Alligator mississippiensis: one gene and its partners. The protein of the gene in region 1 interacts with the protein of each later gene in a pairwise test. Links are inferred from orthologs where the notes say so. Each region holds a gene or a part of one and is shown in the gene's direction. Other genes may lie near its edges.

What was found.
Region 2: the proteins of EMD (region 1) and TRAF3IP3 interact in binary tests that used the Homo sapiens proteins (3 or more experiments, as listed by UniProt). The two-hybrid records come from large-scale screens. The link is inferred for Alligator mississippiensis from reciprocal best matches to the Homo sapiens genes EMD and TRAF3IP3.
Region 3: the proteins of EMD (region 1) and MEOX2 interact in binary tests that used the Homo sapiens proteins (3 or more experiments, as listed by UniProt). The two-hybrid records come from large-scale screens. The link is inferred for Alligator mississippiensis from reciprocal best matches to the Homo sapiens genes EMD and MEOX2.

The regions. Positions count from the first base shown.
Region 1 is NC_081831.1:28,900,261-28,904,006, forward strand, and holds the start of EMD (emerin), read left to right. Parts: upstream 1-1,099; 5' UTR 1,100-1,198; coding exon 1,199-1,280; intron 1,281-1,389; coding exon 1,390-1,473; intron 1,474-1,550; coding exon 1,551-1,631; intron 1,632-1,741; coding exon 1,742-1,828; intron 1,829-1,915; coding exon 1,916-1,986; intron 1,987-2,543; coding exon 2,544-2,593; intron 2,594-2,665; coding exon 2,666-2,897; coding exon of another isoform or gene 2,898-2,938; 3' UTR 2,939-3,746. UniProt on the Homo sapiens protein: Stabilizes and promotes the formation of a nuclear actin cortical network. Stimulates actin polymerization in vitro by binding and stabilizing the pointed end of growing filaments. Inhibits beta-catenin activity by preventing its accumulation in the nucleus.
Region 2 is NC_081837.1:43,724,033-43,727,778, forward strand, and holds the start of TRAF3IP3 (TRAF3-interacting JNK-activating modulator), read left to right. Parts: upstream 1-1,285; 5' UTR 1,286-2,364; exon of another isoform or gene 2,365-2,994; intron 2,995-3,406; exon of another isoform or gene 3,407-3,746. UniProt on the Homo sapiens protein: Adapter protein that plays essential roles in both innate and adaptive immunity. Plays a crucial role in the regulation of thymocyte development.
Region 3 is NC_081828.1:164,604,087-164,607,832, forward strand, and holds the start of MEOX2 (homeobox protein MOX-2), read left to right. Parts: upstream 1-1,247; 5' UTR 1,248-1,553; coding exon 1,554-2,064; intron 2,065-3,746. UniProt on the Homo sapiens protein: Mesodermal transcription factor that plays a key role in somitogenesis and somitogenesis and limb muscle differentiation. Required during limb development for normal appendicular muscle formation and for the normal regulation of myogenic genes.

The DNA.
Region 1 (3,746 bases):
AGGGCCTGGGGGAGAGGGTGTGGCCATGGGGTGGGTTCAGCAGGGGCAGGGCCTGTGAGAGCAGATGTAACTAGGGGCAAGTGCACAGAGGGGCTGGGCTGGGGTGGGGTCAGGGGAAAAGGAGGTGTGGCCAGGGCAGGTTGGAGGAGGAAGGGGGATGGGACAGGGTAAAAAGGCGGGGCTACCATTGCCATCACCATGTTTCTCTCCCCAGGTCTCCAGCCCCAGCAGGGGGCGTCGAGATGTGCCGCTGCCCCCCCCCCCCCCCCCGCAGCCCTGGGGGGCCTGGGGCTGGATCGGGACCCTCACAACTGCCCCCAGGCCCCCCAACCTTCTGTACCCCCCCAGGCCTTCGGGAGTGTGGGGGCGGGGGGGAGACGCCCACACGTGGGGCACGCAGGGGAGGGATGATGGAACCCTGGCGCCCCGCACCCCCTAGCTCTCTATTTCTCCGTGTCTGTTTTGTGCCGTGACTGTGACTTTGGGTTTGTGGCCCCTCCCTCCCAATAACCCCCCACCCCAGTATCACCCCCGCAGGGGGCATGAGGTAGGGGAGATCATGACGTAATTATTAAGTTCCCCCCCCCCCCGGCTGACCCCTGGCCCCCTTGACATGTATCGACCAAAAAAGACAGGGGAAAAGGGGAGCGAGGAAAGGAATAAAAACTGTCGAATAAAGAAGAGGGGAGAAAGGATCCGAGGAGCCGCCTGCTCTGTGGGGCGCGGGCGGGCGCGGGGGTGGGGCGTGGAGGAAGCGGGCCGGGGTGAGTCGGGCGGGGGGGCGGCCGGTTGCGGGGAGCGCAACGCCAGAGCTCCTCGACCCCGCAGAGAGCCCGGGTGTCCCGACATCGCCCTAGAGTCCGGCGGTGCCCCCGACACCGCTCTGCGCACGCTTCCGTCTCTGAGCTCCCCGGCTGGGAGAGAACCCAGGTGTCCGGGCCCACCCAGCTTCACCTCCCTGCGGCGGCGCTCGGGCTGCCGTGGGGGACTCTGGGTAACGTAGTTTGGGGGTGGGGCCGCCCCGCTTCCCGTCACTTCCTAGTCGTTGCGGTTCCAGCTTGGCCCGGCCTGAGATCGAGACCCCTGCCAGCTCCGCCGCGCCCCCTGCTCCCGCCCCGTAGCCTCTCTTCCCAGCCCGCGGAGCTCCCGGAGACCCCGACGCCTGCGTTCAAGCTCCCCCACCCCTCTTCCGGGCAGCATGGAGCAGTACCAGGGCCTGACGGACAACGAGCTCATTGCCAAACTCAAGAGCTACCAGATCTCGCACGGGCCAGTCGTGGGTATGAGGGTGCGGAGCCACTGGGGTCCCGATGTGGGGCGAAGGGGGTTGCGGGTCGGGAGTGAGGGGTCGGGCTATGGGGGTTCTGACCCTCCCACCCCCTCGCCCAGGCTCCACACGGAAGCTCTACGAGAAGAAGGTTTACGAGTTGGAACGGCAGCGCACGACGCAGGGGGGCCCGGGGGAGCCGCCAGGTGAGTGACGGGTGAGGGGGGAGACGGGGAGCCCCGGCCTGGATTGATTCGCCCTTGTTCCCCTCTCCCCCCTGCAGAGCCCCTCACTACTGAGAGCTTCATGAGAGAGTTCTACAAGTACCCCGAGGACGGGGCTCGGGCCCGATACCCGGCAGAGGGTGAGCGGGGCCTGTGGGGCTCTGGCAGGGGACTGCAGGGCTGGAGTGAGCGGCACCGTTGGGGTTTTTGGGGGCTGGGGGTCAGACTAACTCCTCCCACACACCCTTAGACCCGAGTCCCTCCAGGCTCTACATCCGGGAATCCTACATGACACCAGACCACTCCGTACTCCCCAATCGTGGCTATAGGCGCGAAGGTGAGCTGGGGAGCTGGGCCTCGGGTTCCCCATTGGTGGAGGAGCTGCGGTCGCCCCAGGTCTCAGCCCCCTTGTGTGTCTCGCCAGATCTGGATACCTACCAGGGCTCCTACACAGAGGAGCCCCCTGCCCGGCTTTACAGCGACCCGCTACGGCCTGTGAGTGAGGGACACATAGGGCGGGGCCTGCGGGACTGGGGGCGGTGGGGCGGGGCCGGGCCAGGGACACACCCAGAGAACCTAGGTGTCCAGGCACGCCCAGAGCACGAGCATGCGGGCTCCCGCATGCCGGGCGCACGCGATTCAGGGACCCCCCCCTGATGCGGGAGGTACACCCCGCTGCTTGCTTGGGGAGCGGCGCCGAACACGGAACCACACCCGGTCTCTATACATCACTTCCCGTCCCGGGTCGCCGCCTCCACTGAGGAGAGACCCGCCGCCACTTCCAATGCAGGAACTCCAGGGGCTGCCCAAGATGCCCCGACCCGCCCCTTCCGGGGACGCCGGGGCCTCATTTCCAGCATTGACCCTAGCGCCCCCGGCAGCCCCCGCGTGGCAAATATGCAAGCGATCTGCGGAGATGCAAATAGAACCCGCGCGCCCCTCCCTCCGGGGCGTGGCTATGAAAATGAAGGGTTCTTCCCGGAGTGGCCTGTAGAGGGAGGCGTGGGGCGGGGCCGGCAGCGCTGTTGACTGGCCGTGGGATCTCCCCGCAGGGCAAGGAGGAGCCCGGCGCCAGCAGCCCCTGGGGGGATGCTATTGAGAGGTGAGCGTAGGTCTGGGAGGCGGGGCGGGGCGGGGCGGGGGCGGTCCCCCACTCATCGCTTTTCCCCTTCAGGGACAGCACTGCCTACCAGCGCGTGGCGCCGCGCCCCTCCATCCGACCCGGGTCCAGGGGCGGGCCGGGCGCGGGCACAGGCGTAGCGACTCCCGGCGCCCCCCGGCGCTTCCTGCCTCTGTGGCTGCAGCTGCTGGTGTTCGGGGCCGTGGCCGCTTTCCTCACTTTCGTCTACTTCGCTCTCCAGGGCGGCGCCAGCGACAACCCCTTTCCCCGCAGCCTACAGGGCTGAGGGGCCGCGGTCCACCCTGCTCCCCAACCAGAGATTCCTAGGAACCCCCCTTCCCCACAGCCAGCCCAGCCGCCCGCATCCAGGGGCCCCCAGGCACTGTTGCACAGACCTAGAGACTGCCCACACCCAGGCCCCAGCCTCTAACACCAGGGCCTCCATAACTGGCCCCACCAAAACCTCTCAGGGGTTGTCCAGGCCCACACATGCACCCAGGAACCCCTCCCTAGGACATACTGAGGATCCCTCCCCCCACAGCTGGAGCCCCCCAATACCCAAGGACTTTCTCCTACACAGATCCTGGGGAACCCTCCAAAACTTCCCATGGACCTCCCATGGGACCTCCTTACACCCTGAGACCTCCTCCGGGCACCCTGGGGACCACTCCCCTGTATTTAAGGCCCCCCATTCCCTCCTAACCCCCCCTCAAGGTGCACTCAGGGATAGCCCCACACTGCAGAGACCCCCCCATCCCCACTTCCAATGGGACACCCCAACTACCAGAATCCTGCCCAACCAGCCTGCTCCCCTGGTAGTCCAGGGACTGCCCCCATACACAGACCTGCACCCTGGATCCCTCAATTTCCCCCAGCCACCCCCCCCCCAGTGCCAATCCTGCCCCTCCACTCACTCCCAGCCCCTCCCACCCTCAGGCCCTAACAGCCACCCCCAGGTTACCCCCAGCCCTGCCCCACTCCAGCCCAGAGAACTCAGTCATCCCGGTTCCCACCCTTGCAGGTGGGGTAAGGCAACTCCTATCCCCCCCCAGTGGAGAAGTTGTTTGGGGGTTGCCTAGCAACAGCTGTCTTTCCATGAATCGGAGGTTATTTTGTGCCATGTGGGGCGGGATCC
Region 2 (3,746 bases), on another chromosome or scaffold:
TAAATACAGTTATTTTCTGGTCAGTGAAAAGAGCATTTCTGGTGGGATTTTCCAACGTGCCTCAGTGACTTCAACAAAGCAAGCTCCTAGCGCAGCTCCTGCTCTAAGCATGCCAGCACGTGCCCTCGTAGACCCCAGCATCATCCCCATGCAACTGCACCCGCATACAGACATATTCACGTGGCTGGGCAGTCAGCCCCTGCATAGGCTTAACGCATGTGCCCGCAAGCTCACGGGCTGCTGCGTAGTCATGTCCTTAGAAGTTAGAAATGCCTCTGACTTTCCAAGTGACTTAGGCACCTACACCACTGAGACAATACTGACTACTCTCAACTCTTCCTCCCACCCGCCTTCATTTCCTCTCTGGAGATGAGGCTTCCTTAAAGCAGCAAAATCATTTCCCTGGCTGAGAGGGCACAACTAACAGTGGATGGGTTTGGATCTCCTCTTGGAAGGAGGAGGTGGCCATTGCCCGCTCCAAAGCATTGCAGCCCCCAACATGCCTCCTGCTCTTCCAACAGCCCTCATGATTTTTAGTACTAAATCTCTAGGCTCCTGATCACACAGAGTCCCAAGAAGAGCCACTAAGTAAGACATCTATTTTCAACATGTTAGGAAAACCCAAGATGAACTCCCTTTAACATAGGGCCTGGTTCTCCTCTTCCTCTGTTCCAGCGAGAGCAGAACCAGGCCCCACAGCATCCTTTCCTACTGAACTGATACCATTATTACTACTTGCTTCCACCGAGGCAACGCATAGGTGCCCTCAACAGGGACTGGGCTGTATTTTGCTTAGCTTTATATACTTACCCAAAGTGACCTCTTGCAAGAGCTAATAGCATTGCTTAATGCAGATAATAGCATTTGGAGGGACTGGGATCAGTTCCGAGTTATACAACCACCCACAACTCTCTGCAAGCCAAACATTGAGTTCCCAGTGATTTCAATGGGAGCTGAGGACATTGAAAGTTTTAGGGGTCACATTATCCATCACTGAAGTTAGGAGGGAGTCCTAAAACTCAACAGCGCTAAGTATCTAAACAGCATCATTAACTATGGTATTGGATCACATGCCATGTGCATGTTCTTTTTGTCTCTGCTGTTTACATTTTATAACATCTCAGTTGGAGTTTAAAAAAAAAATAAAAGAAGAGGAGAAATTGAGACAAGGTGTAAATTAAAGCTAAGCTGGCATAATAAAGTATTTTCCAAGGACACATGAAGAACTGAAGGGGAGTCTACCTGAAATACAGAAATCTGAAAGAGACTTGTTTATTCTTTTCGGGCCCAATTCAGGTTAGTTAGGTTCTTTCCACTGAATTCAAGGAGCTTTGCATCAGGACCTTTTTGAAGGCATTCTTTCATTAACGGCCAAATGGTTAATCACACAAATGTACCCTACAAGTGCTGCATCTTTGCCATGTTCTAGCACAGCATACACATGCACCTGTACACTGGATTAGCGTACAAACACCTCCCTCTTCCCAAGGCAGCTGTTTCATCGGCAGATAAAATGGAAGCAATGTAACACAGAGCTGAGCCATGTCACCCGAGCTAAGCTTGTCCGAGGGATTTCTTCCAGGGCTGCTCCATTCACACCAACTGCTCTTATACCCTGGGTGGAATTACCTAACCCCAGGCCCCTTGGAATTGGCAGGAATCAGCAAGCATAATAAAAGACCTGCTGTGCTGTGGGCATAGCTTCCTGGATCCATGCACCGCTTCCATGTGCAGTGAGGGATAACGGTGGCTGGTGATAGCAAAAGTCCAGACTTCTTACATCTCAAGATACCCAAACCACCATACTGAACTGGGCTTCAAGTTGCCTGCTAGCTTTCTGTACCATGTCACAGACTAACGAGACAGGAACTGGGGATAAGCATTGTGGCTTAGCACATTTCCTGTTTTATTAAAAAAAAAAAAAATGGCAGCACAATGAAGTCGCTGGAATGAAGATGTCAGTTAATGCCCCATAACCCAATATCCAACCTTCTCTTTCTGCCTTGAAGCTTAACAGAGGTTGGGGAGAAGATCAGTGATTTGGTGCGTCTACCTCTGGGCTCCCATCGCAAACACAGGTAAGACCTTCACTTCTACGGCTCTTTGTGGATGAACAGCAATGAGCCCTGACACAGGAGAAACCGATAACGTATGTCTGTCTCAGCCCACATTATTGGCGCGGGAAGTTGTAACTTAACAGCAAGTTGGGGTTTCCTTTCATTCATTTCCCTTGGAGGGAGGAGTGCCACAGCATGCAAAGGGGAGATAAAGGGCATGCTAATTAACAGGGGATGGTTGACTTGGGGTGGTAGCGGAAGAAAACAAAACCGGTAGCTTGTCAGAGAGGCCTCAGCAGCTTGCTCGGTGAGTAACGGACCGCACCTTTCTTTCTGCTCCTTTCTTGCTCTAAAGGGGATCTGTGTTAAATCCAAGAGAATTAAAAAGAAAAGGCTCAGGATGCATAGTTGGGAGGTTCTGCAAGGAAGGCAGGAAGGCAACGGCGCTGTCTGTAATGGGCGGCTTCCCAGCACGTAAGGCTCACACAGGATGTGCAGGGCTCAGCACCCTAATTCCGGCCTTGGGTGAGACACTTTTTAACCGTGGGAAGATACCGGCAGAGAAAGAGATTTCTGCCCTTGGCTGACGAACTAGGGAGCAGGGACATTTCTATACGTTTTGTCCCAAAGATGCGTTGTTCACAGCCACGTCCAGTTGTTGCTTTCAGGTTTTCAGGATGTTTAGGTCCAGGGTGTTAGCACAGGCCTCATCTGTCTGTCTACTTCAGAGCCTGTGCAGCTGTTCACCAGCCCCAGCACCAGCCTGCTGTGCTGTGAAAGTGTCTGTGCGTGTGTGTACACAAGTGAGCATGAGAGAGGAGGTCCAAAGTAGGATGACGTTGAGGCAGGAGCAAGAAAGCTGTATCGAAATGATGGGTTTTTGCATTTGATAACTTCTCCGAATGAAAGTTCACCCCAGTAATGTTTCAGAGAGGCCCTGGTGGAGCAGGATTAGAAAATGAGATTAGAATTAGGGATATTACAGGAACATCAAAAACTCTAAGGGTAAACCACATCTCTGAACAAATGTGAGCACGGAGCAAACATATAGTGCAACCTAATCATCCAGAAGATGATTTTTGTCTTTTAGTGTAATCATCTGAGTCTTTATTTTCTTGGTTGGATGGATGAGGTTGTGAAGCAACATATTGATTGTTTATAAGCATGTGTTTTGCCTACTTACAAACAAGAAAAGGATGTCATCTTACTGCACTGGAGTCCCTTTCAATTTAAAAGGAAATTAGTTAGTACAACATGGCAGCATAAGAAATGTGTGCTTCTATTTTGGTTCTGTTATAGTTAGGTAGCTTTTTGGAGGGCAAGTTTTATTATAAAAATCCTCAACCCACCTTACAAACATTAGTTGCCTTGAGGTTTTCCATCAGAGTCAGCAATTTCTCAACCCCTGAAGACAAAAAAATATAGAATGAAATTGCTTCTTGTGTTCATTTTTCTTTGGGCTCCTAAAATCAATTTTTCTTTGTCTCACTTTAATTGAAGCCCCCACCTTTGCTCAACATGTAGCTCTCAGGTACAATGCTGATAAGAGTTATGTAAGTGATGGTGGGGAAAGAGAGATAAAAACAGGAGCCTGAAAGGGCTTGCTGAGGAATTTGATTTTCTGTACCCCTCCCCTTCTGTCTACCTTTCAACTCTTGAGGGGTTTTTTGAGTGCAAGTATGAAGCAAG
Region 3 (3,746 bases), on another chromosome or scaffold:
TTTTAATATTAGAGCACATATTGAAACGATAAACAATGAAACGCACAAAATATTTCATCAGTGTTGTAACTGAATATTTCCTTTATTCTGAAGCAATATCAAGGGGTGACCAGTGCAAAGCAGCAACAAGACTTACTGCTGCTTTGGACATCACATTAGATGGGATTGTTACAGCTAAAACTAAGTTAACACACTATTTTGTTTTGGGGTTTTTTTTCGAAAAAAAGCATTAGATCTAAAAAATTTAAAAAAAAAGGGGGGGAGGAGGGAGGGCGACTCTTACCGTCTAAAGACTGCTGCAGGTTCCGGCTCAGCCTGAAACTGCCAGGGCAAATGCAGCAGCTGCTGAACAAAAGTTTTTAGATTTTTTTTTTTTTTCGCGCAGAAAGTCTGCAAAACTAATTTCCCACAAAATAGGGCTCAATTTCCGTTTAAGTAACTAGCTCTTGCAAATCTCATGCAATTCCTGATTTTTTTTTCCTATAGCGACTGAAATTCTTTTTTTTTTTTTAATTCTTGACACACGGACTCCAGAATTAAGACACAAATGGCAGGACCCCTGCTGATTTATTTATTTGGGGGCGGGGGTTAAGACAGAAAACGTTGCTTGTGGGTGCTCCCCCTTGCTCACGCACACGTTGGTGGGGGGGTGTACAGGTGGGCTGCGCTGGCGCGCGGCTCCACTGACTGCATCCCCTGCGAGCAGCGGCGTCTCAAACTCTCTCCGCCGTGTCTCACCTGAGACGGCGAAAAGCAGCGTGGGGAGGTATTAGCTGCAGTCAGAGAACAGGAAGATGTGAGAGAACTTGGTCCTTTTGGTGTGTGTTGGGGGGGTTGTTTTGTGGTGTTGATGGCAGCAAGTGTCTTCCACTGACCATGAGGCGCTGGTGTAACCTCCCGCAAACTCACTCCCTGGCCTCTCGGCGCCCGTTTCCCGCCCGAGCCCCGGGGCCAGCAGAGTGCGGGGAGCCCTGTGCAGCGGGGGCCACGCGCGATCGGCCCAGCGGAGCGTTATTCGCGCTGTTTGTTGCTGGTCACCCCGGGTGCGGCAGAGGGCCCGGGCCGGGGCTAAGGGGGCAGGTGTGGGGCCAGCAGGTGAGGCCGGCAGGGGCGCGGGTGCGAAGCGGGCGCCGCCTCCAGCGCGCACACAAGTTCAGGGGCGGATGCGCGCAGCAGGAGCGGAGCCGGCCCCTCCTCCCGGGGGGCGGGGGGGCGAGCAGGCGGGTGCGCGGGTCCCAGGCGGCGGCGGCGGCCCCGCCCGCGGCGGGCTGGGCCGGGCCGGGCCGGGCCGGGTCCTGTCCTGTCCTGTCCTGTCCCGCGGACGCGGGGCTGCGGGACGCGCCGGAGTTTCGGAGGGAGTTTGCACGCGGTCAGCGCGGCGCGGCTGAGCCAGCCCCCGGCTCACGTTACACGCGCCTGTATTTATAACCTCCCGGTAAGCGGCGGGTTCCCCCTCAAAGCCGCGGCGCGGGACCACCTTCCCCGCCGCTCCCGCTCCGCGACAGCCGCGCGGCGCCGGGACCTGGCCCTGGATTACCCGCGCCCCGCATGCCATGGATCACACCCTTTTCGGCTGCCTGCGCAGCCCGCACGCCGCGGCGCAGAGCCTGCACCCCTTCTCCCAGTCCTCGCTGGCCCTGCACGGACGCTCCGACCACATGTCCTACCCCGAGCTCTCCACCTCGTCCTCCTCGTGCATCATAGCGGGATACCCCGGCGAGGAGGGCATGTTCGCCAGCCAGCATCACCGCGGCCACCATCACCACCACCACCATCACCACCATCACCACCAGCAGCAGCAGCACCAGGCGCTGCAGACGAACTGGCACATCCCCCAGATGTCCTCCCCCCCGGCCGCGGCCAGGCACAGCCTGTGCCTGCAGCCCGACTCGGGCGGCCCGCCGGAGCTGGGCACCAGCCCCCCGGGGCTCTGCTCCGGCGCCTCCAGCCTGGGCACCAGCACGCCCACGGGGGCGGCCTGCGCGCCAGGGGACTACGGCAGGCAGGCTCTATCCCCGGTGGAGACGGAGAAGAGAGGCGGCAAGAGGAAAAGCGACAGCTCAGGTAAAGGCTTCCCCTTGCATTGGGGGCCGGGGGGAGAGGGTGGTTGCCTCCTGCCTGAGGGCCCCGGCGACACCCGGCTTCGGAGCGGGTCGTGCCTTGACCTTCCCTCCTGCAGCCCGTGGGGCCGGGGCATGGACACGCCGGCACGTGACAGCGCCTGACAGGCCGGGCCAGGAGGTTCCCGCAGGGCCCGGGCCCGGCGGGGGCAGCTTCCTCCTGGCGCGCTCCGCCGCCCCCCGCGGGAGCCCCGCGCCCAGCTCACCCCGGGGTCAGGGGCCGGGGCCGGGGGGCTGGCGCGGCTCCCGGCGGGAGAAGAGCTGAGGGATCGAACAGTTCACTTGGCCTATCTGGGGGGAGCCCCTTGCCCCCCTCCGCCGTCAAAAAGTAAAATCGAAAAGTTTCTCCCATAGTATCTTGGTATTGGTGAGCCGCGCAGGGAGATGGTGCTTGATCCTGGGGCTCGGCGACAAGTTTCCCCCGTGCTCAAATGCCATTCTTGTGAATGGCTCCGCCACGGTAGCAGGGCTTCTCTGGGAAGGGATGGCATTTCTAGTACACGGGGAGGAAAGAAGGTGTGTGAACACGTGCACACCCACCCTCTCTCTCCTGAGATGTGGGCACGCACACACACACACGCACACTAGTGGGACAGGCACTGTAGTAGGACATGCATTCACACTCTAGTGGGACAGATGCGTCACAGTCTGGTGAGACGCAGGAGGTAGTGGGATAGGGCAGTACACACACACACACACACACACAGAGTAGTGAGACATGCAGGAGGTAATGGGATAGGGCAGTGTGTGCAGACACTCTCTCTGTGTCTAGTGAGACAGGAAAGTGTTTCCCCCATTGGAAAGTCAGGAGCAGACAAACCAAGTTGTACACTACCAAACTTTGCAAAACCGGGCTCTGTGTTTACAAGTTGGAGAGAGTCATGGCTTCAATGCTGAACACTAGTAAATATTTGGAAAAAATCCTTTCACTTTCTCTTCTCTGGCAGCAGTTGGTTTTTCTTTATAAAACAGAGTGGTTCTCCCCCCCCCCCGCCCCCCCGTCTTTTTTTTGCTCTCCACATCATCCAGAAAGCGTTGTACCCCGACTCGCAATAAAACACTAGGTTAGTTAGTAAGCTTCTTATGCACTAGGGAATCTATTGCTTATATAAAATAAAAATATACTTCCAACTATAAAAAAGATGCTACTTATGGGCATTTATTTGGAATGACATCTATATCTTATTTTATGAAACAAATTGCATGTACTTGACCAGGTGAAAGATGTGGTGATTATTTTCACCAGTTTCTAATGAAAATAATTTTAAGCCATATGGTGCATGAGAGGAGTCTGTGAACTCATCAATTTATTTACAAAGGCAGAAAACAAGAGAGAATTCATCACTAATTTATAATGCTAGGGAAATGTTCATTACAGTTTTTCATTTATTGCAGTTTGCAATGAAAAAGCCCACACCCGTGCTGAAATCGTATCTATCTCTGAAGTCAAGGGTGTCTTTCCAATGGCTTTTGAACAGTATTGATTGAGACTTTAGTTGTGATGGCTTCAGTACAATGGTGTAATCTAGGGTTTGCTTTCTAAGGCAGTATCTGAATATAAAGCTGCAGAGTGGAGGCATAAAACTGTTTTAACCCAAATAAATATATTAATCTATTTATTATTGC